2 linked regions of the Cricetulus griseus genome follow. The protein of the gene in region 1 binds, or shares a complex with, the protein of each later gene. Links are inferred from orthologs where the notes say so. Each region holds a gene or a part of one and is shown on either strand. Other genes may lie near its edges.

The links. Proteins that work in one complex are often made in the same cells at the same time.
Region 2: Efcab2 (region 1) and Ccdc153 share a complex: the UniProt entries of both Homo sapiens proteins name them as parts of the nexin-dynein regulatory complex. The link is inferred for Cricetulus griseus from reciprocal best matches to the Homo sapiens genes DRC8 and DRC12.

What each region holds. Positions count from the first base shown.
Region 1 is NC_048598.1:15,664,898-15,675,281, forward strand, and holds part of Efcab2 (dynein regulatory complex protein 8), read right to left. Parts: intron 5,759-10,384; coding exon 5,679-5,758; intron 4,920-5,678; coding exon 4,877-4,919; intron 4,785-4,876; coding exon 4,718-4,784; intron 1-4,717. UniProt on the Homo sapiens protein: Component of the nexin-dynein regulatory complex (N-DRC), a key regulator of ciliary/flagellar motility which maintains the alignment and integrity of the distal axoneme and regulates microtubule sliding in motile axonemes.
Region 2 is NC_048597.1:155,926,388-155,937,438, forward strand, and holds Ccdc153 (coiled-coil domain-containing protein 153), read left to right. Parts: upstream 1-1,516; 5' UTR 1,517-2,268; intron 2,269-2,535; 5' UTR 2,536-2,545; coding exon 2,546-2,615; intron 2,616-2,641; exon of another isoform or gene 2,642-2,680; coding exon of another isoform or gene 2,681-2,685; intron 2,686-3,121; coding exon of another isoform or gene 3,122-3,126; coding exon 3,127-3,192; intron 3,193-4,286; coding exon 4,287-4,406; intron 4,407-4,861; coding exon 4,862-4,954; intron 4,955-6,882; coding exon 6,883-7,013; intron 7,014-7,997; coding exon 7,998-8,126; 3' UTR 8,127-8,183; downstream 8,184-11,051. Other genes in the region: Pdzd3 (Na(+)/H(+) exchange regulatory cofactor NHE-RF4), read right to left, coding at 9,253-9,282, 9,497-9,697, 9,821-10,027, 10,114-10,310, 10,484-10,688, 10,873-11,009. UniProt on the Homo sapiens protein: Component of the nexin-dynein regulatory complex (N-DRC), a key regulator of ciliary/flagellar motility which maintains the alignment and integrity of the distal axoneme and regulates microtubule sliding in motile axonemes.

The sequences.
Region 1 (10,384 bases):
GGAGAGACAAGAAGGGAGACCATCATTTACAGACGGGAGATTTTTCTCTTTCCTCTAGCCAGCTCCATTGCCATGGGGAACACAGGCCCCCAGCTGTGTCTAGTTTCTCCACGGGAGCTGGACGGCCAACACCTGAGAATCTGGAAGTTCAAAAGGCGTGCTGCCACACCCTCTGCAAGGCCGCAGACTCACTACCTGGTTGTTACCTATAGAACACATCATTTCAGTCAAAACAGCAGCAGAACATAAAACACCATGAAAGAAGTTGTTTACTCACTTAAATTAAAATTAGTGAAATTGCAAAAGTATCTGCTTGAAGCTGAAGTTCTATAGATGAATCTAATTATTATGTTAGTGAAACTATGAGGAGATAGCTGAAGAGAGAGACAGGACACTTGATCACTACATCAGGTATCTCTCACACTGGTTTAACCCCACCACAGATGCCACTCATCAATCATCCTTGTTTCAGTCTGGGCTAGTTGAAGTCAGATGAAATGGAAAGTTAGAGAGAAAAATCTGTGAGCTTCAGTTGGACTCAGGTAACAATTGAGAGCCATCTTGGAAACTGGCTTCACCAAGGTAGGACACAAACTCCAGAAAAATATGGAAGCCAGGAGGGGGGGGAGGGGAGGAGCACCCAGCAGCCAGTACTCACTGACACTGATTGAAGTGTTTCACACATACTAAGTTAATCTCCCAGACACCTCACAAGAGGAGAGAACTACATCTCCATTCACAGCACATGAGCAATGCAGCCTGCCCTCAAGTGAACGGGGACGAGTCTGAACGCCAGATGACAAGCTTGGCCGAAGCACTCCACAGAGCTGCTTAGACTAAGCCTTGACCACAGGAGTCCCTCTGCCACACTGCCTGCACAGCATTTGGGTTAAGATAGCAGGAAAACTGCTCAACACTGAGAGGCACATCTTAAAGGACAAGCCTCACAGAGTCAAGTTCTAGCCCTCTTGCTAGCTTTATGATCTTGGGCAGGTTGCTTAACCTATCTTCCCAGTCTACACAATACAGATGATGCTAATACTCTCCACCCATGGGCTTGGTAAAAGGATTAAATCTGTTATTATTCAAATAGCACTTCCACAAACATCTGACACATAGCAACATGCATTTGTTTTTTAAAGGCTTAAGATCTTTTCTGATGCTAAATACCATCTGATGCAATATACATACTGGACACACATGAACTCTGTCTGGTAGATACTTGACAGGTACTTGTAGGTACACTCAGTGTGGTTTATGGTGTCTATCTTACAATCTCCTGGGCATTTAGAATGTACATTCTTAAACTTAAAGTTGTGTTGGCTGTTCTGTGGATACTATGAGAGGACATGGAAGTAACTTTATAGTCCAAAAGCTTGGATACACTTAAAAACAATTTGGAATTTTCAGAACCAAAATAGCACTTCTTAGCCAGGCCTGTGGCGCACACCTTTAATCCCAGCACTGAGAAGGCACAGGCAAGTGGATCTCTTTGTTCAAGGCCAGCCTGGTCTACAGAGAGAGTTCCAGGACAATCAGTGATACACAGAAAAACCATCTCTCTTAAAAAAATATATCATTTCTTAAGCAACCATTTTACTGAACTAGGCAGCTGCAAATGTACTTAGAGGAAGAGTGTTTTCCATCCAATAATAATGATGCATTAAGATATCACAGTGCATCTTATATGTACCTAACAAATATACTGGCTCAGACAACTTGGAAGAAATTGAATAATGTTGAATAAATAACTGAAACCATTTATATCCTTCTCTGAAAAGAACTGATGCAGGCTCTGTCTATTAGGATAGGCAACAGTTGCCCTGGAGTACAAGAACTCTGTAAGTATGCCTTCCTGGAAGTTCTCATGAAGCATATTCCTGTGACCCACATGGCCATGTCATCCCTACCCACAGTACCGTAGTGCCTGACTTCACTGTCTCAGTCGGTAGCATTACTATTATTGACATCCATGGTCCAGGGCAAAAGCCTGGTGTTCCTTTATACTCGTCATCCATTTTCGTCCCCTGCCCTCTGTTATTCACCATGGCCCAGGGTCCTGTGATAAAGTTATACTGCATTAATTCCCTTTTCTAGTCCTTGTGCCAGGCCAGGCCTGTATTAGGGAACCCTGGGAATGCTGAAGGAGCCCCCTGCTCATCTCGCTGGCTGCACCTGTCTTACTCACCTACAAACTGACCAGCACCAGAATCACTTTCCCACAGCACTGCTACAATGGGTGACTCAGTCCAACTCTCCACCGCCCAGGGGATGCCCTGAGCTCAAGAGCAGGCCTCTACAATTCAGCCCCAAACCACCTCCCTCCCTCCAACAAGACTCAAAGGCTGGCTGAGCTCGCCTTCTTCCTTGTACCTGGCTGCCTTCCTTCCAGATTCTGTTCCATTTCTCCATTTCCCACAAACCAACTGAATCTGTCTTCAATCAGCTTCTCATTTGTTCATTCATAGCGCATCTGTTGAAACTCACATGCTGATACTATGATGTGTGAGGGTGCTATAACATAGATGACCTCACTACGCCTGCCCTGGATGGCTCATCCCATCTTAGGGTGCTATAACATAGATGACCTCACTACGCCTGCCCTGGATGGCTCATCCTATCTTAGGGTGCTATAACATACATGACCTCACTACGCCTGCCCTGGATGGCTCATCCCATCTTAGGATGCTATAACATAGATGACCTCACTACGCCTGCCCTGGATGGCTCATCCTATCTTAGGATGCTATAACATAGATGACCTCACTACGCCTGCCCTGGATGGCTCATCCCATCTTAGGATGCTATAACATAGATGACCTCACTACGCCTGCCCTGGATGGCTCATCCCATCTTAGGATGCTATAACATAGATGACCTCACTACGCCTGCCCTGGATGGCTCATCCCATCTTAGGATGCTATAACATAGATGACCTCACTACGCCTGCCCTGGATGGCTCATCCTATCTTAGGATGCTATAACATAGATGACCTCACTACGCCTGCCCTGGATGGCTCATCCTATCTTAGGGTGCTATAACATAGATGACCTCACTACGCCTGCCCTGGATGGCTCATCCTTTCTTAGGGTGCTATAACATATAAGATCTCACTACGCCTGCCCTGGATGGCTCACCCTATCTTCTGAAGCACAGAATGGTGGCTCCCATCTGTAATCCCATCTGAGAGGCTGAAGCAGGAGAATTGCCTTGAGTTTAATGCCAGCCTGGCATACGTAGTAAACACCAGATTCATCTGGGTTATAGAATGCAACCCTGTCTCAAAACAAAAGCAAACGAATAAACCTACCTTCTCAAGGAAGCTATTCTCTCTTCCCAGGCCAACCTTTCCAGGCTAGTTTCAGCTTGCATTGATCTTCTGATAGCTATTTTTCTAATGTCTCATATTGATCTATTTCACAAGTTAGCTTTGCTTCTCAAGAAAGGGATCAGATTCCAGTGTCATTACCGTCCACTGTGCTTTACCAATAAACATACAACAGGCACACAGTGGGAATGACTCAACCTCTTTGGCTGTTTTTATTAATTTCATGTGGCCCAATATACTTTAGGGTTAACTTCCTTTCATCCTGGGTTAATTAGTTAAGTTAACTACTCAGATGATTTTAACATAGTAGGGGATCCTGGATGGCAGCTATGGCTTTCATCTTACTCCTTCTCTCACTTCCTGTTTCCTGAGGGGGAACTGAGTTAAAATGGCCAAATCAGGTGTGCATAGAGCTTCCAGTACTGGTCTCCTTGCTCAAAATGATACCCATGTCCATGTCCAACTGATGGGTGACTGTTGCATCACTCACCACGTGGCCTGTGCATCTGGGAGCTGAAGATAGTGCAGGGTGTGTGTGTGTGTGTGTGTGTGTGTGTAGAGGAAGCAGAACTCCTTCCTTAGTGCAGGGTGTGTGTGTCTGAACAGCATTAATGATTGTCCATCATGCTGCTTACAGTTAGCGGAAACACACACACACATATATATATTGACATAAAAAGAGAACATTTAAGGAAATATATAGGTATTTGTCAGAGGAGGTCCCATTATCGTAAGAAAATACAGTTTTGCGTGAATTTGCATTCAATTAGGCTATATTGTTTGCAACTTTACCACCGAAGACAGTCTTTTGAAAGAAATTTTTATATACTATAATTCAAATCTTCTGTCTAAAAAGGCATTGGTTTATGATTGACAGCTCATATTAAGTGGCATGTCTTTTATTCAGAAAATATTTTAAGTGAATAAAGTAAACACAATTTATACAAGTAATCATTACACTTCTATTACACAAAATCAAATACCAAACCAAAATAATAGGAATAATAAATAAATTATTTAACCAAACAATTGCTTTTAAAGTATCGCCTCCCATAACTTTTGCATAATTGTTTAGAACTTATTAATTGGGCTGGAGAGATGGTTCAGCAGTTAAAACCATGCACTGTTCTTGCCAAGAACCTGAGTTCAGTTTCCAGTATCCATGTCAGGTTGCTGGCAACCATCTGTAACTTTAGCTACAGGGGACATGATGCTTCTGGTCTCTATGGGTACTGCATTCAGATGCACAGACACACACAGACACACAGACACACAGACACACACACACACACACACACACACACACACACACACAATTAAAAAATAAACATCTTTAAGCCTATTTATCTTTGCATAAATTACTCAAATAAGAAATAAAGTGCTCTGACCTTCCTCAGTCATGTATTTGATCAGTTCGTCCTTGGTCAGAAACCCTCGTTTAGCTGGATCCAAAACCTGGGGAAAGTAGATATATTTTCTTTGTTGAATAAATACTATATGATGAATTAGTTTTTCACATATACATGAATAATCTGGAGTTCACCCACCTCAAAAGCTCTGAGAAGGACATCTTCACCAATTGGTCTGTATCTGTAATTTTACAATAAAGTGAGTTAATGCCAGCATATTTATCTCAGTCTCTACATGATAAATGACTGCATTAGGCAAAATAAAAGCCACTAATATACTATGCTAATGGCATTTCCCTTGATGAAATTTCTTTGGATTTCTGGATATGAAAGTCAACAGTACCTACCCCACAGGAATGTTTGGTATTACCTATTAGCATTTTCTCATTGATATAAAAATAAATTTATCTACAACCAAAACATCTACAATCAATCAACTGTCATATGCTAATGCTGTCTTATGCTAGGAAAGTAACTAATGTTAATTTTTATTTTTAAATAGTAATTCACAGTTAAATATAACTACAATGTTGTTGGTTTTGTAGCTCCTTTTCCTTTTCATTATTTCTTGCTTGTATTAATAAATGCTAGCATGGTTTATATTTATAAGCACATCCCTAAACCAGTCTGCAGTACACTGAAAGGCTAGAGGAAACTACCCTAAGATATAGACTGGGTAAATAAAATATAAAAGGCCAAGTGGTTTGGTTTGGTTTGGTTTGGTTTGGTTTGGTTTGGTTTGGTTTTGAGGCAAAACTCTGTAGCTCAGGATGGCCTGAAACTCCATAACTAAGGCTAGCCTCAGGTTTGTGGCAATCCTCCTTCCTCAGCCCATCAATGCTGGAATTACAGGCATAAGGCATCACACCTGGCCAGCCAAATGTTTTGAAATTACTGCCATTCTAGTTATCTTGTCTTAAAATTGGATTTACTTCCTTACTTTCTTTCCAGAAGTGCTTTGGTCATCACTGGAAGAAACTTTTCAAAACGAATGTATCCGGTGGGTTCCTCTTCTTCCACCTGAACAATTAGAAACAGTCATTTATTCATTCAACAAATATACTGAGCAACTACTTTCTTTCAAACACTGAGACAAGGTTAGGACTTGGTGATGAGACTATAGACACAAATGCAGCTTGTGGAGCTTGTTTTCTGCAGGAGAGACACATACAATTCAGTAACCTGCTTGCCACTCAACCCTGAGGACCTAAACTCAATTCCTAGCACTCATGTCAAAAGCAAGGTGTGTAATTGCATCACAGTGGATTGTCACTCAGAGTTAACCTCTGGCATGTGTGCTCCCACACACCGAACACAAAAGCAAGTATCCAATTTGTTTTTACTATGCAAACTTGAAATGATCCTCCTGCTCAGCCTCCCCTATGGTGGTATGTCAGACATGAACCACCATGCCTGGCTTGAATGTCTAAATCTAGATCTATGCAAACACCATGAGCAAAGGAATGTGGGTCTAGTGGAGCACAGAGCACAGGAAGCCTCTCCCATCAGCGCATCAGGGAAGTCACTGGCAACTGTAGTGTCTGGGCTGGAAGAGGCTGGAGAGAGACCCTATCATCCCCAGAACAGCCATTCCCTGTTATCCTGAGAACAATGCAAAACCACAGACAGTCTCATAGGTGTGTGTTTTGAAAGGTCACTCTGTTGTGGATGAGGTGGCTACTTCAGACAAAGGGTGATGGTGCAGATTGGAGTGGTGGCCATGAGGAGAGTGGGTATGTGACCTTTAAGAAGACTTGACAGAGTGACAGCATTCACCCATTACAGATTAGGGGGAAAAGGCATCTAAAATGACTCCCAGATTCTGACTTGCACAAATGCACTGTCTTTCCGTGAAATGAGGAACCCTGAATACATCATCTCAAGGACCGACCTACATCTCAAATCATTCTTGTACTTATGAAATACTTTCCTGAGTACTAGAACTCTGCTCTGTCATCCTAAGTTAAGAAAATACTATTCTAAAGATGAGAGCTTTTGGCACCTAGCACTACAGAACGAGAAAGAAACAAGTCTTTTTTGCTTCCGGGTTCAACTCCGACCGACTGAACAAAGCTCTACTGACCTTAACTTCCATGTCAGGCAATTTATACGGAGCTATAAATCCTGCACTTTCTTTCAAAAATCCTATTAAAAGGCTCATAGATCCCAATTGAACAGATGAGTTTTTAAGAGATTTATTGTTTCAACAAAAAATAAATCTATGGGTGGCTATTAAGTAGAATACACTGTCATCCAAATGACAACTATTTTTAATGTTCATATGAGTCTGTATGAGTAGAGTCTTCAGAATCCATTATCAGAGAAAATCAAACCCATCTAGGGACATCATGTTTCAGAATTTCTGTACCATGTGAACAATTTCTTCAGCTTCCTCTAAGGTCTATGATGAGCATTTTGACAATTCATGTTAATATAGCTCGGTAGTCTGAAACTCCCAGAACACAGAGACTTAAAGGTTAAACATCTGAATGCAGGTGAGGCTCAGTGGTAGAGTCTTTATGGACTCTGGGGTTTAAACCTCAGGGAAGACTTTTTAAAAGTCAATCTCTGTGTCTCCTGGAAACTTCAGAGAATCTACACCATGAAGTCTCACCAACATTGAAGATATGATAGAAGAAATAGATACAACAGTAAAAGAAAATGTTACATCTAAAAAAAAAATCCTTACACAAAACATCCAGGAAATCTGGGACATTATGAAAAGACCAAACCTAAGAATAATAGGAATAAAGAAGAATCCCAGTTCAAAAGCCCAGAAAGTATTTTTACCAAAAATCATAGAAGAAAAATTTCCCAACTTATAAAATGGCATGCCTATAAAGGTACAAGAAGGTTACAGAACACCTAATAGATTGGACCAGAAAAGAAAGTTCCACGCCACATAATAATCAAAACTCTAAACATACAGAACCAAGAAAAAATATAAAAAGCTGCAAGGGGAAAAGGCCAAGTAACATATAAAAGCAGACTTATTAGAATTACGTCCGACTTCTCAATGGAGACTCAAAAGGCCAGAAGGCCCTGGACAGATGTCTTGCAGACTCTAAGAAACCACAAATGACAGCCAGACTATTATACAAAGCAAATTTTTCAATTATCACAGACAGAGAAAACAAGCTATCCCATGGCAAAGTCAAATTTAAACAATATCTATCCACAAATCTAGCCCTACAGAAGGTACTAGAAGGAAAATTCCAACCCAAGAAAGTTAATTACACCCATGAAACACAGGAAATAATTTCACATCAGCAAAACCAAAAAAAGGGAAGCACAACACAAACACACAATTATCATCAAAAACAACAAGATAACAGGAAGTAACAATCATTGGTCATTAATATGTCTCAATATCACTGGACTCAATTCCCAAATAAAAAGACACAGACTAATAGAATGGTTACAAAAACAGAACCCACACCTCTGTTGCATACAAGAAACACACTTCAACCTCAAAAACAGACATTAAAGTGATGGAAAAAGATTTTTCCAAGCAAATGAACCCAAGAAGCAAGCTGGTATGTCTATTTTAATATCTAACAAAATAGACATCAAACCAAAATTAATCAAAAGTGATAGGAAAGGATACTTCATACTCATCAAAGGAAAAATTCACCAAGATGACATTTCAATCCTTAACATCCAAGCCCCAAATGCAGGAGCACCCACATTTATAAAAGAAACATTATTAAAGCTTGAATCACCCATTGAACCTCACACATTAATAGTAGGAGACTTCAATACCCAACTCTCACCAATGGACAGGTTATCCAGACAAAAGTAAACAGAGAAATAATAGAGTTAACAGACAGTGTAAACCAAATGGACCTAACAGATATCTATAGAACATTTCATCCAAACACAAAAGAATATACTTTCTTCTCAGCACCTCATGAAACTGTCTCCAAAATTGACCACAGACTAAGACACAAAGCAAGTCTCAACAGATACAAGAAAACTGAAATAACTCCCTGTATCCTATCAGACCAGTCACAGATTAAAACTGTATTTCAGCAACAACAGAAAGTCTACAAAATCATGGAAATTGAACATCTCCTTATTGAATGACTATTGGGTCAGGGCAGAAAGACAGAAAGAAATGAAATGCATGCACAACATACCCAAACTTATGGGACACAATGAAATCTGTGCTAAGAGGAAAGTTCAAAGCACTAAGTACCTGCATAAAGAAATTGTGGAGATCTCATACTAGCAACTTAACACCACACTTGAAAGCTCTAGAACAAAAAGAAGCAAACGCCCAAAAGGAGAAGAAGACAGGAAATAAACTGAGGGCTGAAATAAAAAAATAGAACAATACAAAGAATTAATGAAACAGAGAGTTGGTTCTTTGAGAAAATAAACAAGATATACAAATACCCAAACTATTTAAAAGACAGAGAGAGAATATCCAAACTAACAAAATCAGAAACAGAAAGGGGACATAAAAATAGACAATGAGGAAAGTCAACAAATCATTAGGTCATACTTCAAAATCCTGTACTCCATAAAATTAGAAAATCTAAAAAAAAAAATGGACAATTTTCTTGATAGATACCTCTTACCAAAGTTAAATTAAGACCAGATAAACAATTTAAACAGACCTATAACCCCCAAGGAAATAGATGCCATCATTAAAAGTCTCCCAACCAAAAAAGAAAAGAAAGAAAGAAAAGCCCAAGGCCAGATGTTTTTAAGCACAGAATTCTACCATACTTTCAATGAAGAGCTAATGCCAATACTCATCAGCTCATTCCACAAGATAGAAATAAAAGGAACATTGCCAAATTCATTTTATGAGGCCACAGTCACCCTGATACCAAAACCACACAAAGATTCAACAAAGAAAGAGAATTACAGACCAATTTCCCTCCTGAACATTGATGCAAAAATACTCAATAAAATACTTGCAAACCAAATCCAAGAACACATCAAAAAGATCATCCACCACGATCAAGTAGGCTTCATCCCAAAGATGCAGAGATGGTTCATCATATGAAAATCTGTCAACAAAATGTACCATATAAACAAACTGAAAGAAAAAACTACCTCATGATCATCTTGTTAGATGTTGAAAAAGCCTTTAACAAAATCCAGTACCCCTTCATGATAAAAGTCTTAGAAACATCAGGGATACAAAGGACATTAAATGGAGAGAAACTCAAAGTAATCCCACAATTTAAAAAAAAAAAAAAAAAAAAAAAAAAAAAAAAAAAAAAATCTAAGGCAAGGCGTTGGTGGCGCACGCCTTTAATCCCAGCACTTGGGAGGCAGAGGCAGGCAGATCTCTGTGAGTTCGAGGCCAGCCTGGTCTCCAGAGCAAGTGCCAGGATAGGCTCCAAAGCTACACAGAGAAATCCTGTCTCGAAAAACAAAAACAAAAACAAACAAACAAAAAAAAGAGCTGTCACCATCCCTGATTTTAAGCTGTACTACAGAGCAATTAAAAAAAAAAAAACTACATGGCATTGGCATAAAAACAGACAAGTTAACTAGTGGAATCAAATTGAAGACCCAGATGTAAATCCATACACTTATGGACACCTGATTTCAGCAAAGAAGCCAAAATTATACAATGGAAAAAAGAAAACAAAAAATAGTGCTGGTCTAACTGGAGGTCGGCATGTA
Region 2 (11,051 bases), on another chromosome or scaffold:
ACCCAGTGAAAGAAGTCCCAAACGTGCTCCTCGTACAAAGGAAAGGGCAGGAACTCCCATGTATTCTAGGGCAGGAAGAGGAGATTCTGAAGGAAGAATAAATAAAAACATGGTGGAAAGTGAGAAGAAAGATGTCCTCTATATCTGGGAAGTGTGCACAAGGCTCACCAGCCCCAAGTTCCATGGGTTGTAAGCACCATAGAGGCAAGTCTGACTCCTCTCTTCCCTCTACAAAATGTACAGAGTGATGGCTGGAGACATGGTCCAGCAGTTAAGAGCAAGCACTGCTCATGCAGAGACCCCGACTTTGGTTCCTAGCACCAACCATACTGATGGACTGCCCACAGCAGCCTGTAAGGCCAACTCTAGGTGCTCCAATGCTCTCTTCCAGCCTCTTTGGGTACTGCACTCACATGCACAAACCCACACACATATAGCGAAATGAAAAATTAAAATTAAAAATCTTTTCTAAGATCTCTAAAGTGCCATGGGGTTAAATAAACACTCATTGACCTTCTGCTTCTTCTTCACAGGTGAGAGATCTTCCTCCCACGTCTTATACCTGTTTCTGCAGATTTGCTTCTGATAATATGCAGTTGACCAAAATTCTGGAATAGACAGAAGTGCCCAAAAAGAGTCTGTAGATCCCATAATCCACAGGGAAGAAGGAAGGCTTACTGTTCCATTCTATGTATGATGCCATTGTGATGCCCAGTAATGGCCCGGTTCCAGGATGGAGCCCTCCCAGATGGAGGGGGCAATAGCAAGCTACCCCATCACACTCTCTACCCACAATCAATTTTTTAAATCATATGCAAGATGCTAGAAGGCATCCCCCAAAGAGAATCTCCCCCATATTGTGCAAGAAATACTAAACTGCAAAATTTAGGAGACTCTGGTCAAAGCAAGTCCACTAGAGGGAGCACTAACCAACTCTATGCTGCAGAGAGCTTGGGGGCTTCTAAACACCCTGTCTGCAGAGTAACCTCACAGAGAAATAGGGAGAGTGAGACAATTGTTGAGCGGGAGAGAAAGAAGTCCTAGAAACACACCACTGAGTATATATATATATATTATATATATATATATATAATATATATATATATATATATCCTTATTTTACATAGCAATCTCGGTCCTGTCTTCCCATGCCCACCCACCCCCATCCCATTCCCACTGCCGTCCACTCCCCAGGGAGGGTAAAGCCTTCCCAGGGGGATCATCAAAGTCTGTCACATCATTTGGGGCAAGGCCTAGGCCCTCCCCCATGTATCTAGGCTGAGAGAGTATCCCTCCATAGGGAATGGGCTCCCAAAGTCTGTGCACTAGGATAAATACCGGTTCCACTGCCAGAGGCCCCATAGACTGCCCTGGCCTCCCAACTGACACCTATCTTCAGGGGGCCTGGTTGGGTCCTATGCTGGTTCCCCAGATGTCAGACTGGGGTCCGTGTGTTCCCACTTGCTCAGGTCAGCTGTTTCTGTGAGTTTCCCCAGCATGGTCTTGACCCCTTTGCTCATCCCTCCTCCCTCTCTACAACTGGACTCCAGGAGGGAACTACAAAACTTATACACCAAGAAATCCAAGCTGAGCAAAATTAAGTAGCTCAGTTCGCAACTCTGCCTAATTTGTGGCCTCCTTTCTGGGTCAGCATCCCCAAGTCCACAGCTCTTCTCTGTTCTCATTTCTCTTAAGTGGAAAACTCTCAACTACCTGTGCCAGCACGTGTTTCCTGCACAAGCCACAGATAGCATTTCTGAAGTAGACCTCAAGTTCTAAAGCAAATCATGTCACTGTGTTCATGAGACCTCGGGATATAAAGTACCTGCAATGGCTACTTTCCCTGCCTTTCTTCTCCATCTGTAAAGCACTAGCCTCTCACACTGGATGCTTCTAGATTTCTAGACTGCAAAGTCTCCAGATGATAGGCAGTGCCTGTGTAGACATGAATAATAGCTATTCAGCTCCAAGACCTTTTCTTTGCGGGTAGGAGGGGAATCTACCTACACAGGACCTTTGTGTGAGTCAATTTAGCCCATTCTACCTGCCTATGAACACAGTGTTTCCCGGTTGCCTGGGCAGCAGGCAGTCTCCAGAAACCCAACATCCCAGTTCTTGGTCCTGCCTCTTGGGGAAGTTTTTCAGCCTGGATTGGCTCCCAGGACCCAGGCTCCTTCCTCCCTAGGCTCAATCTGCTTGGGACTCTATCTTTCCCAAGGAGTGTTATTCCCCAGGGAGACAGCACTCAAGCAAGAGAAGGTCCTCCAGGTAGGAAGGGGAAGAATAAGCATGTTGGGGAGACAGAAGGGACCAGGTCCAGAGATTTATCTTCTCTAAAAGGGCTGTCTGCTGCCCATAGAATTGCTCTACCTCCCAGCCTTGCCTGGGGTTCCCAGGAGACCAAGAACCAAAGCTTCTAGAAAGTGTAAGATACACTGGAAGACTAGAATTCTGACTGCCCCAAGACCCCTACCTCTAGGAGTCAGGAGAGCATTTCTGTATGCAGACCTACACAGAAGGTCTTCCCTCCCCCAGGGCAGCAAGGATGCCACCTAAAACCAAAGGAAAGGGGAGAAAAACTGGGGCACAGAAGAAGAAAAAAAAATCAAGTCCTGGTGAGTCACAGGGCGTGTCTGTGACACAAAGGTCCTCGGAGGGAATCCAGCCCTCTGGGCAACAAATGGAGTGGGTTTGTTTTGGTTTTGTCTTTTGTTCTTTTGACACAGGGTCACTATGGGACCCAGGCTGCCCCAGTCTTCATAGTGACAGGATTACAGGCGTTGCTACCACACTTGGCTAGGGTGAAGCTTCCTGGCCCTCCTCTGCAGATCCTTGCGTCCAGATTCCATGGGGCTGAGGAAGTGGAGAATGCCTCCTTCCCAAATTCCCCCTGGAGCCCCATCTAGTTCTTTGCCCTCATCATATTTTTCACCCTTATTTTGAGCACCCACCGTGCACATGGTGGGTGAAGACTCTGCCACTCAGCCGTAAATTTGTCAGATTTGCCATTGGGCCTCCCTCATCCAGCTATCTTCCTCCATCACGAAGGAAGAAGTGCAGGTGCAGAGCAGCACTGGGGTGAGGCCGAGAGAAGGATAACCTGAGACTATTGTCTTGCCAGAACAGATGCAGAGGCTGAGGCCAAGCATAGGATGGTCCTGCTGGAGAAGGAGCTGCTTCAGGACCACTTGGGTAAGAAGTTTGAAGCCTCAGGAGATGGCAGAGATAGAAGTCCTAGTTAGGGTCATCGTTGCTGTGATGAAACACCATGACCAAATCAACTTGGGGAGGAAAGGGTTTATTTGGCTTAAGCTTCCAAATCACTGTTTATTATTGAAGAAAGTCAGGATAGGAATCCGAGTAGGGCAGGATCCTGGAGGCAGGAGCTGATACAGAGGTCATGAAGGGTTGCTGCTTACTGCCTTGCTTCACATGGCTTGCTCAGCCTGCTTCCCTTTTTGTTGTTGTTGTTTTATTTTGTTTTGTTTTTCGGTTTTTCGAGACAGGGTTTCTCTGTGTAGCTTTGGAGCCTATCCTGACACTCGCTCTGGAGACCAGGCTGGCCTCGGACTCACAGAGATCCGCCTGCCTCTGCCTCCCGAGTGCTGGGATTAAGGCGTGCGCCACCAATGCCCAGCTCAGCCTGCTTTCTTATAGAACGCAGGACCACCAGCTCAGTGGTGGCACCATCCACAGTGGGTAGGCCCTCCCCATTAGTCACTAATTAAGAAAATGCCCTAAAATCTTGCCTACAGCCTGATCTTATGGAAGCATTTTCTCAGTTGAGGCTACCTCTTCTCTAATGGCTCTAGCTTATGTCAAGTTGACAATAAACTAGCCACCCAATGTATGGAACATAGGGCATTTCTGGGTTCTTGGGGAACTGGAAAGTTTGAACTGTGTGCAGGGCTAAACCAAGATAGCCATTAATCTATTTGCAAGATTGTGAGGAAGGGCTAGGCAGTGAAGATCAATGAAAGAAGCTATCTCCCACCCCTTCCCCCAGCTGGGAATAGAATCACAACTTCATTCATGATAGGTAAGTAGTCTACCATGGAGCTAACCTGCAACTTGGGGAAGCCATTGTCTTATAGTGGCCAGAACATGGAGGGATTATTGACTTAGGAATGAAAACCCTATGGGTTTTGGGGCAACTAATAAAGAGTATACGAAATTGACACCTGTCACCAAGTTCACAGAGGTGAACTTAGTTCATGGAGGCCATGGTGATTGGTTCTGTAGGACCCACAGCCAGACCTGAGCATGGCTCTTGACACTGTCCACAGCTCTCCAGAGGGATGAGACCCGCAGAGCCAAGGCTTCTGAAGAGAGGCTGAAGCAGAGGTTGCAAGGGCTAGAAGCTGAACTGGAGAAGGCCCAAAGTGAAAGGGATGCTGTCTATGCAGGTATGATTTGATTGGCCAGGTGGGCAGGAGACAAAGGCATGGAAGAGGACAACCATGAAAATTGGGGAATTCAAGGAAGGGAAATGAAGAGGAATCTAACTGCCATACCCTACCCTCTGCTGTCCCTGCATAGGCAGGGTCCTGAGAACCAAAGACAGATCCCTGGCAGAATGCAGATTACCACATTCTAGAATGTCTAATGCTGCACGCTTGATATCTGTGTGAAACACAATGTAGCCATGGCCCTTTACCTTTATTTTTGGGAGTAAGTGGCAAGAAGGGCCAGGGTCCCCACTTTTAAGCTGATGTGTGGGGTAGGGGGACGTCTGGTTTCCAATCTCCCAAATTTTCAAGGTCTCCCAAGTTTCTTAGTTCTGTTCCTTGAGTGAGACTTTTCCCCACATGCAACCTCATTTCCTTTCTTCATGCCTCTATCCCTATGGTTCCTACCTCAGAGATGAGCCGCCAGCGCCGGGCCCTGCAAGAGGAGTTGAGGACCCGAAGCAAGCAGCTGGAGGAGGAAGTGAGAAGCCTACGGGAGCAGCTAGGTAGTCCCCATCGCTCACTCTTATTCCCCAGGCTCACAAACAATCATGGAAGAGTGGACTTGGGAGGTCCTTCACTTGCTGTCTACAGTCTTCTGGTTGAATTTTAACTAGGGTCACCTTCACCCTAGCTTTTCTCTGAATTGAGAGTTCAGTGGCACAAACCCCTATGTGAGGGGCTGGACTTGGCCTCTCTGGGAGTTTGCTCAGTACTTAAGAGCACTTGTTCTTACAGAGAACCTGAGCCAGCATCCTCATAGTGGCTCACAAACCATCTGTAACCTAAGTGATAGGGGATCTAATTAAAGTCCTCTTCTGACCTCCACAGACACCCACAGGATGCACATACATACATGCAGGCAAAGCACTCATACACATAAAATAACAAAATAAATAACTCAAAAAAATAAAATAAAAAGCCCTCCAAGATAGAAGTAAGGAAAGGTAGGACTCTCACCCCTTTTCCCCCTTTGCTTAATCTCCCCAAACCCAGCAGTTACCCCCTTCACTGCCTTGTCCATCCTAAGCAAAACACATTTCTTGTTAGTTTAGCTGACCTTTGCAACCAAACTACAGAAAACAGTAGACTTAATTTATTTTAGTATCTTCAAACTTGGGCACCTGGTAGAAGGCCTTAAATTACTACTTGTTAAATCAGTGAATATACCAATTAAATAGGAAAACAGGTCAGAAGAGGGCATCAGATCCCCTGGAACTGGAGTTAAAGATGATTTTGAGTCACTGGGAACAAAACCTGGGTGCTCTTAAACACTGGGCATTGCTCCATCCCCTCCTGACTCTTTGTAGTCCTCAAAAAGCCCAAGGTGGCCTCGAACTCACAGTGATCCTCCAGCCTCAGTCTCCTGAGTTGTAGGATTACAGATGTGAGCTACCACATCCAAAATATCTTCAGTTTCCGCTATAAATATTCATGAACTGCTTATACAGGCCAGGGATTCCATCTCTAACATTGGCCTTCTTTCAAATTAAAATTCAACATTTATTGAACACCTGCTACATTAGGTGTTTTGTCATCCATTTTCACATTTAAGAGTCATAGCAAACAAGAGGAACGTATATCATTTTCTCTCCAAAGATAAAGAAGGGGCTAGAGAAAGGGTTCAATGATTATGAACACTGGCTGCTCTTCCTGAGGGCCTGGCTTTGTTCCCAGCACCCACATGGTGACTTACAACCATTGTAATTCCAGTTTCAGGAGATCCAATCCAATGCCCTCATCTGTCCTCCACAGGCACCTGCATACATATACACACATGGGGAGGGGGGGAGGGGAGGGATAAAAGTTTTTTAACAGTTTATTTATTAAGTATAGTGTTCTGCCTGCATGCATGCCTGCACACCAGAAGAGGGCAGCAGATCTCATTATAGATGGTTGTGAGCCACCATGAGGGTGCTAGGAGTTCAACTCAGAACCTCTGGAAGAGCAGCCAGTGCTCTGAGCCATCTCTCCATCCCAATAAAATTATTTTTAAAATCCAGATATAAAATTAAAAATAAAAATATGTATAAAGATAGAGAAACTGCACCACATTAGTTGGCACAAGTCTATAATCCCAACCCTGGGAGATAGAGGGAGGACGATCTGGAGTGCAAGGTTGTCCTTGGCTACATGGGGAGTTTAAGGCCAGTCTGGGCTACATAAGACCCTGTCTTAAACAAAACAAAGCCAAACATTTAAGTCATGGAGACCCAGAGATACTTGTCCCATGCTGTATATGTAACAATCACCAGACTTTGGACCCGTCTCCTGTCTCAAGACCTCTACTCACTCTGCCATACCTCAGTGAGTCCTTATAGACCTGGGGGAAGTTGATGACCCTAAAGTCTGTAATGACTCTGTCAAGGTTGGTTACTGCTCTTGGTGTAGTGTCACCATCCTGTCCTCTTTATCTTTCTGCCCTGCACCCTAGAAACATGCCAAAAGGAGGCTAAGACAGCAAGGGAAGAGGCTGAGCAAGCCCTCAGAGAGCAAGATGAAACCCTGTCTCAGCTTCGTGCCCACGTGGCAAACATGGAGGCCGAGTATGAAGAAATCTTGCATGTAAGCACCACCCCCTGGAAGCCATCTTCTCAGGATCCCATAACCCTCCATCCCTATGCTCCCAACTAGTGTGATGACCCACAACCCAAGGGAGCCATCTAAGTATAAACAGAAGATACAACCATTGACAGAGCCAGTGACTTATAATCCCAGTACTTGGGTGGCTAAGGCAGGAAGATTTCAAGTTCAAGGTCAACACTGGCTACAATGTGCTTGCTATATAGCTGCTACATAGTGAGACCTAGACCAAAATAATCAGGGCCTGTGAGTATAGGTCAATGGTAGAGCTCTCACTAGTATGCAAGGCCATGGGTTCAACCTTCCCAAAAGAGGGGAGGGGAGGGGAGCAGGAAGAGGAATGGGGAGGAGGAGGAGCAGGGAACAAAAGGAGTAGCACAGGTTTGTAATCCTACTATTCAGGAGGCTGAGGCAGGAGGATCATAGGTTCAATCAAGACCAACCTAGGTACAGAGTTCAAGGTCAGTCTAGGCAGTATAGTAAGAGATTCCACCTCAAAATAAAAGGTAAAAAGAGGGTTTGATGGACAGCTCAGTGGACAGGGTGCTTGTCTAGCATGTATGAGGCCTTAGTTCCATCCTGAGTGCTGAAGAGAGAGAGAATAATGGGCAGCCAGGAAAGGTAGCTCATGCTTGCAATTCAGTACTTTGGGAAACTGAGGCAGGAGAATTCTGAGTTCAAAGCCAGCCAGGATACAAAGCAAGGGTATCTTACAGAAGAAAGGAAGGAGGGAGGAAAGGAAAGAAGGAAGGAAGGAAGGAAGGAAGGAAGGAAGGAAACGAGAAGGAAAGGAAAGGAAAGGAAAGGAAAAGGAAGAAGGGAAGGAAAGGGAAAGGAAGGAAGGGAAGGGAAGGAAAGGGAAGGAAGGGAAGCCATTGGCAAAGAACTATTCCTAACCAAGCTGGGCAACCTAAGGCAACATTCCCCCTTCCCTGTCTCCGGGAACTGAGAGCTTGTTGTTCACAGGGCAGCCTGGACTGTCTCTTGGCCAAGCTGAGAGCTGCCAAGCCTCAGTGGGATGCAGCTGTGCTGAGACTCCACACCAGGCACAAGGAGCAACTACGTCAGTTTGCTCTCAACCCCCTGGAACTTTGAAGCCATTGGCCCCTAATTTCTGAGGCCTAGCAATAAAGCGACTTGGAGTAGAATTCATCAGAAGTGTGGATTGTGGCCTTTAGCATTGAGGAACAGCTCTCGTGGGGACATCTATATTCTGGGTTAACCCCATTGTCCCACTGTTCTAAACACTGAACAATAAGAAATGGAAAAGGTTCTAAACCCTCTCCTACAGAAACTAGATCCCATTCCCTTAAGCCTGGAGCACCTTTGGTTCCTTTAAACTACCATGGCTTATCCTCACTAAGAAAAACACAAAGCCAGATGTCCATGGAAAGACTGCATATATATATATATATATATATATATATATATATATATGTATGTATGTATGTATGTATGTATGTATTTATTTATTTATTTATTTATTTGGACAGTGGCATACTAAGGTGTTCACGTAGAGGCTAGAGGACAACTCCCAGGAATTGGTTCTCTCCTTCTACCAACAGGGTTCTGAGGATTGAACTTGGGTTGTCAGGCTTAGCAGCAAACACCTTTACCAACTGAGCCATCTCACTGGCCCACTGGGAAAGGCTGTAATAGGACATTACAGTGGCCAGGAACCAGCTCCCAAGTTTCTTTTTCTTTTTAGTTTTATGAGACAGGGTTTCTGTGTAGTTTTGGAGCCTGTCCTGGAACTAGCTCTTGTAGACCAGGCTGTCCTCAAAGTCACAGAGATCTGCCTGTCAAAGTCACAGAGATCTGCCTGCTGGCTCCAAGTTTCTAAGATGTCCACAGAAGGAAAATATGGCTGATCTCCAAATTCTCATGCCATTTAACACTGGAGTCATAGCTAGCCTAAGTTCTCAATGGCTTTGATCCTAAATGGCTCCACAGCATCACCTTCTTGGGCAGAAGAAATTCATCTTTGTAGCACAGGTCCTCAAAACTTCTACAAAACATCCCGTGGAAACTTGGGCTCCCTCATGAGTCCTCACCCCTCTGCTGGAGGTAGGTGCCTCCCAAGCAGTCATGTGATCATTGGAGTCTGAATTTTCCAAGTCCCACTTCCCATTTGGGGAGGTCATTCCTGGCTCCCTCCACCTCAGGGTGCAGAGCAAGGGCACGAAAGCCATTAGGCAAGTCTGTGCCAAGCAGGCATGTCCTATAGCAGCTCTGCAGCCAGGCTCCAGTCCTACAAGGAGAGAAGGACAGAGTCAGCCTGGGACCAGAAGGTTTCATTTTCCTGCTACAACATGTTGTGACTGCTCAGGAATGGGACTTGTTTGATGGATCCTCTGCCCCCACCTCCTACGACCTACAGTTCCCCCCTACACATCCCACAGTGCTCCACCCAGCAACCCTCCTCTCTGTCCTTTTCATAGCTCCATCTGTTTCTTTGACTTCACCTTTCCAGACTCGGAGGAAATCCAGGCTTCTAAGCCCTGCAGATTCCTAGCTGCCAGCTTCAAGCAGAGGGGTGGCTCGGCCTCAGCCAGCTGCTGAAGCCTATCCAGGTCACTGTCACCACCCACAGGGTATCCATTCACCTCCAAAATTGCATCTCCCATTTGCAGCCCTGCTCGGGCAGCTGAGCCTCCTGGGGTCACCTGGCAGTATTGGGGGGGCACAGAAACATTGGTCAAGTGTTCTAAGGCTGGGCATGTAGATGGGCAGCAGAAGGTAGGTGATGAACGATGGAAAGAGGCCAACGTGGGTGGGGCGTCAGTCACCTGGGAGATGAAGAGACAAGGCCCACTGGCCACGAAGCAGAGTCTGAATCCATAGCCACCTCCAGCCCCAGGGTACAAGAAGCATTGGCGGGAGCCAACAGTGTCAGAAGGCTCAGCTGCATCTTCAACTAGATGATCCTTGGTTTCCGCCAGAGGGGAGTCAGCAATCTCTGTGTTCTCCAAGAAGAGGAGAGGAGACAGCCGTACCTGGTAGTGGGGGCAGAGAGAGCAAACCTGTGGCACTTGAGCCCTGCTCCATCCCTACCCCCTCCCTAACCCTGTCACTTACGCACCATGCTGAAGAAGCGGTCAGCCTCAGGATCAACGACAATAAGGGAGACACAAGAGCCCTGTGCTCGGATCCTAGACACGGTTTCCTCATGGCCCAGCCCGTCCACACTTTCCCCAGCCACAGCCACCAGGCGGTCTCCAGCCTTCATCCCAGCCTTGTCAGCTGGCAGTCCTGGGTCCACATCCCACAAGAACTGCCCTGGGACATAGACATATTCACTTCTCCTCCCTGACTCACCCCATGCTCTCCCGGGGACACTGAGAAGAGTGCAACTGGATATATATGACCATCCTAAGGCCCACTTACACACACACACACACACACACACACACACACACACACACACACACACACCTCGGGCTGCCACTCACCAAGGCGACCATCCAGGCCCTTCTCCTCCCGGAGCAGGAACCCAAAGCCTTGAGGTCCTTTCTCTATGTTTAGACACCGGGGCTTGGCAGGCAGTGCCCAGCCCTCTGCCAGGGGTGCAGCAAGAGGCATTCCCAGCTGATGACACTGTTCCTCTACCTCCGGCCCCGCCACCAGCAGAGTCACCTGATCTCCACTCTGCGAAAGCTGTGGGGACCCAGCAAGAGTAGAAGCATGAACCATCCATGGGGGGGATGGAGAGGTAGATATCTCCTCAGCACCTCCCCCCAGGCCCACACAAACTGTAGAGAAAAGAAAAAGAGGGGCGACGTATACAGACCCTCAGATCAGGAGGCGGGGTTCACGTAGCAGCCGCCACAGGAAGCCCTACCTTCCTACTGAGCTGGTTGGAAGTGAACTTCTCCACACAGACCCCATTCACTTCTAACAGCCGGGCCCCAGGGGGCACTCCTGCTCTCTCAGCAGCTCCTCCTGAACTGAGCACCAGCCAGAAAGGGCCCCGATTTCCTAAAGGCAGACAAAGTAACTCCCAGTCTGCTCCTTGCCTGG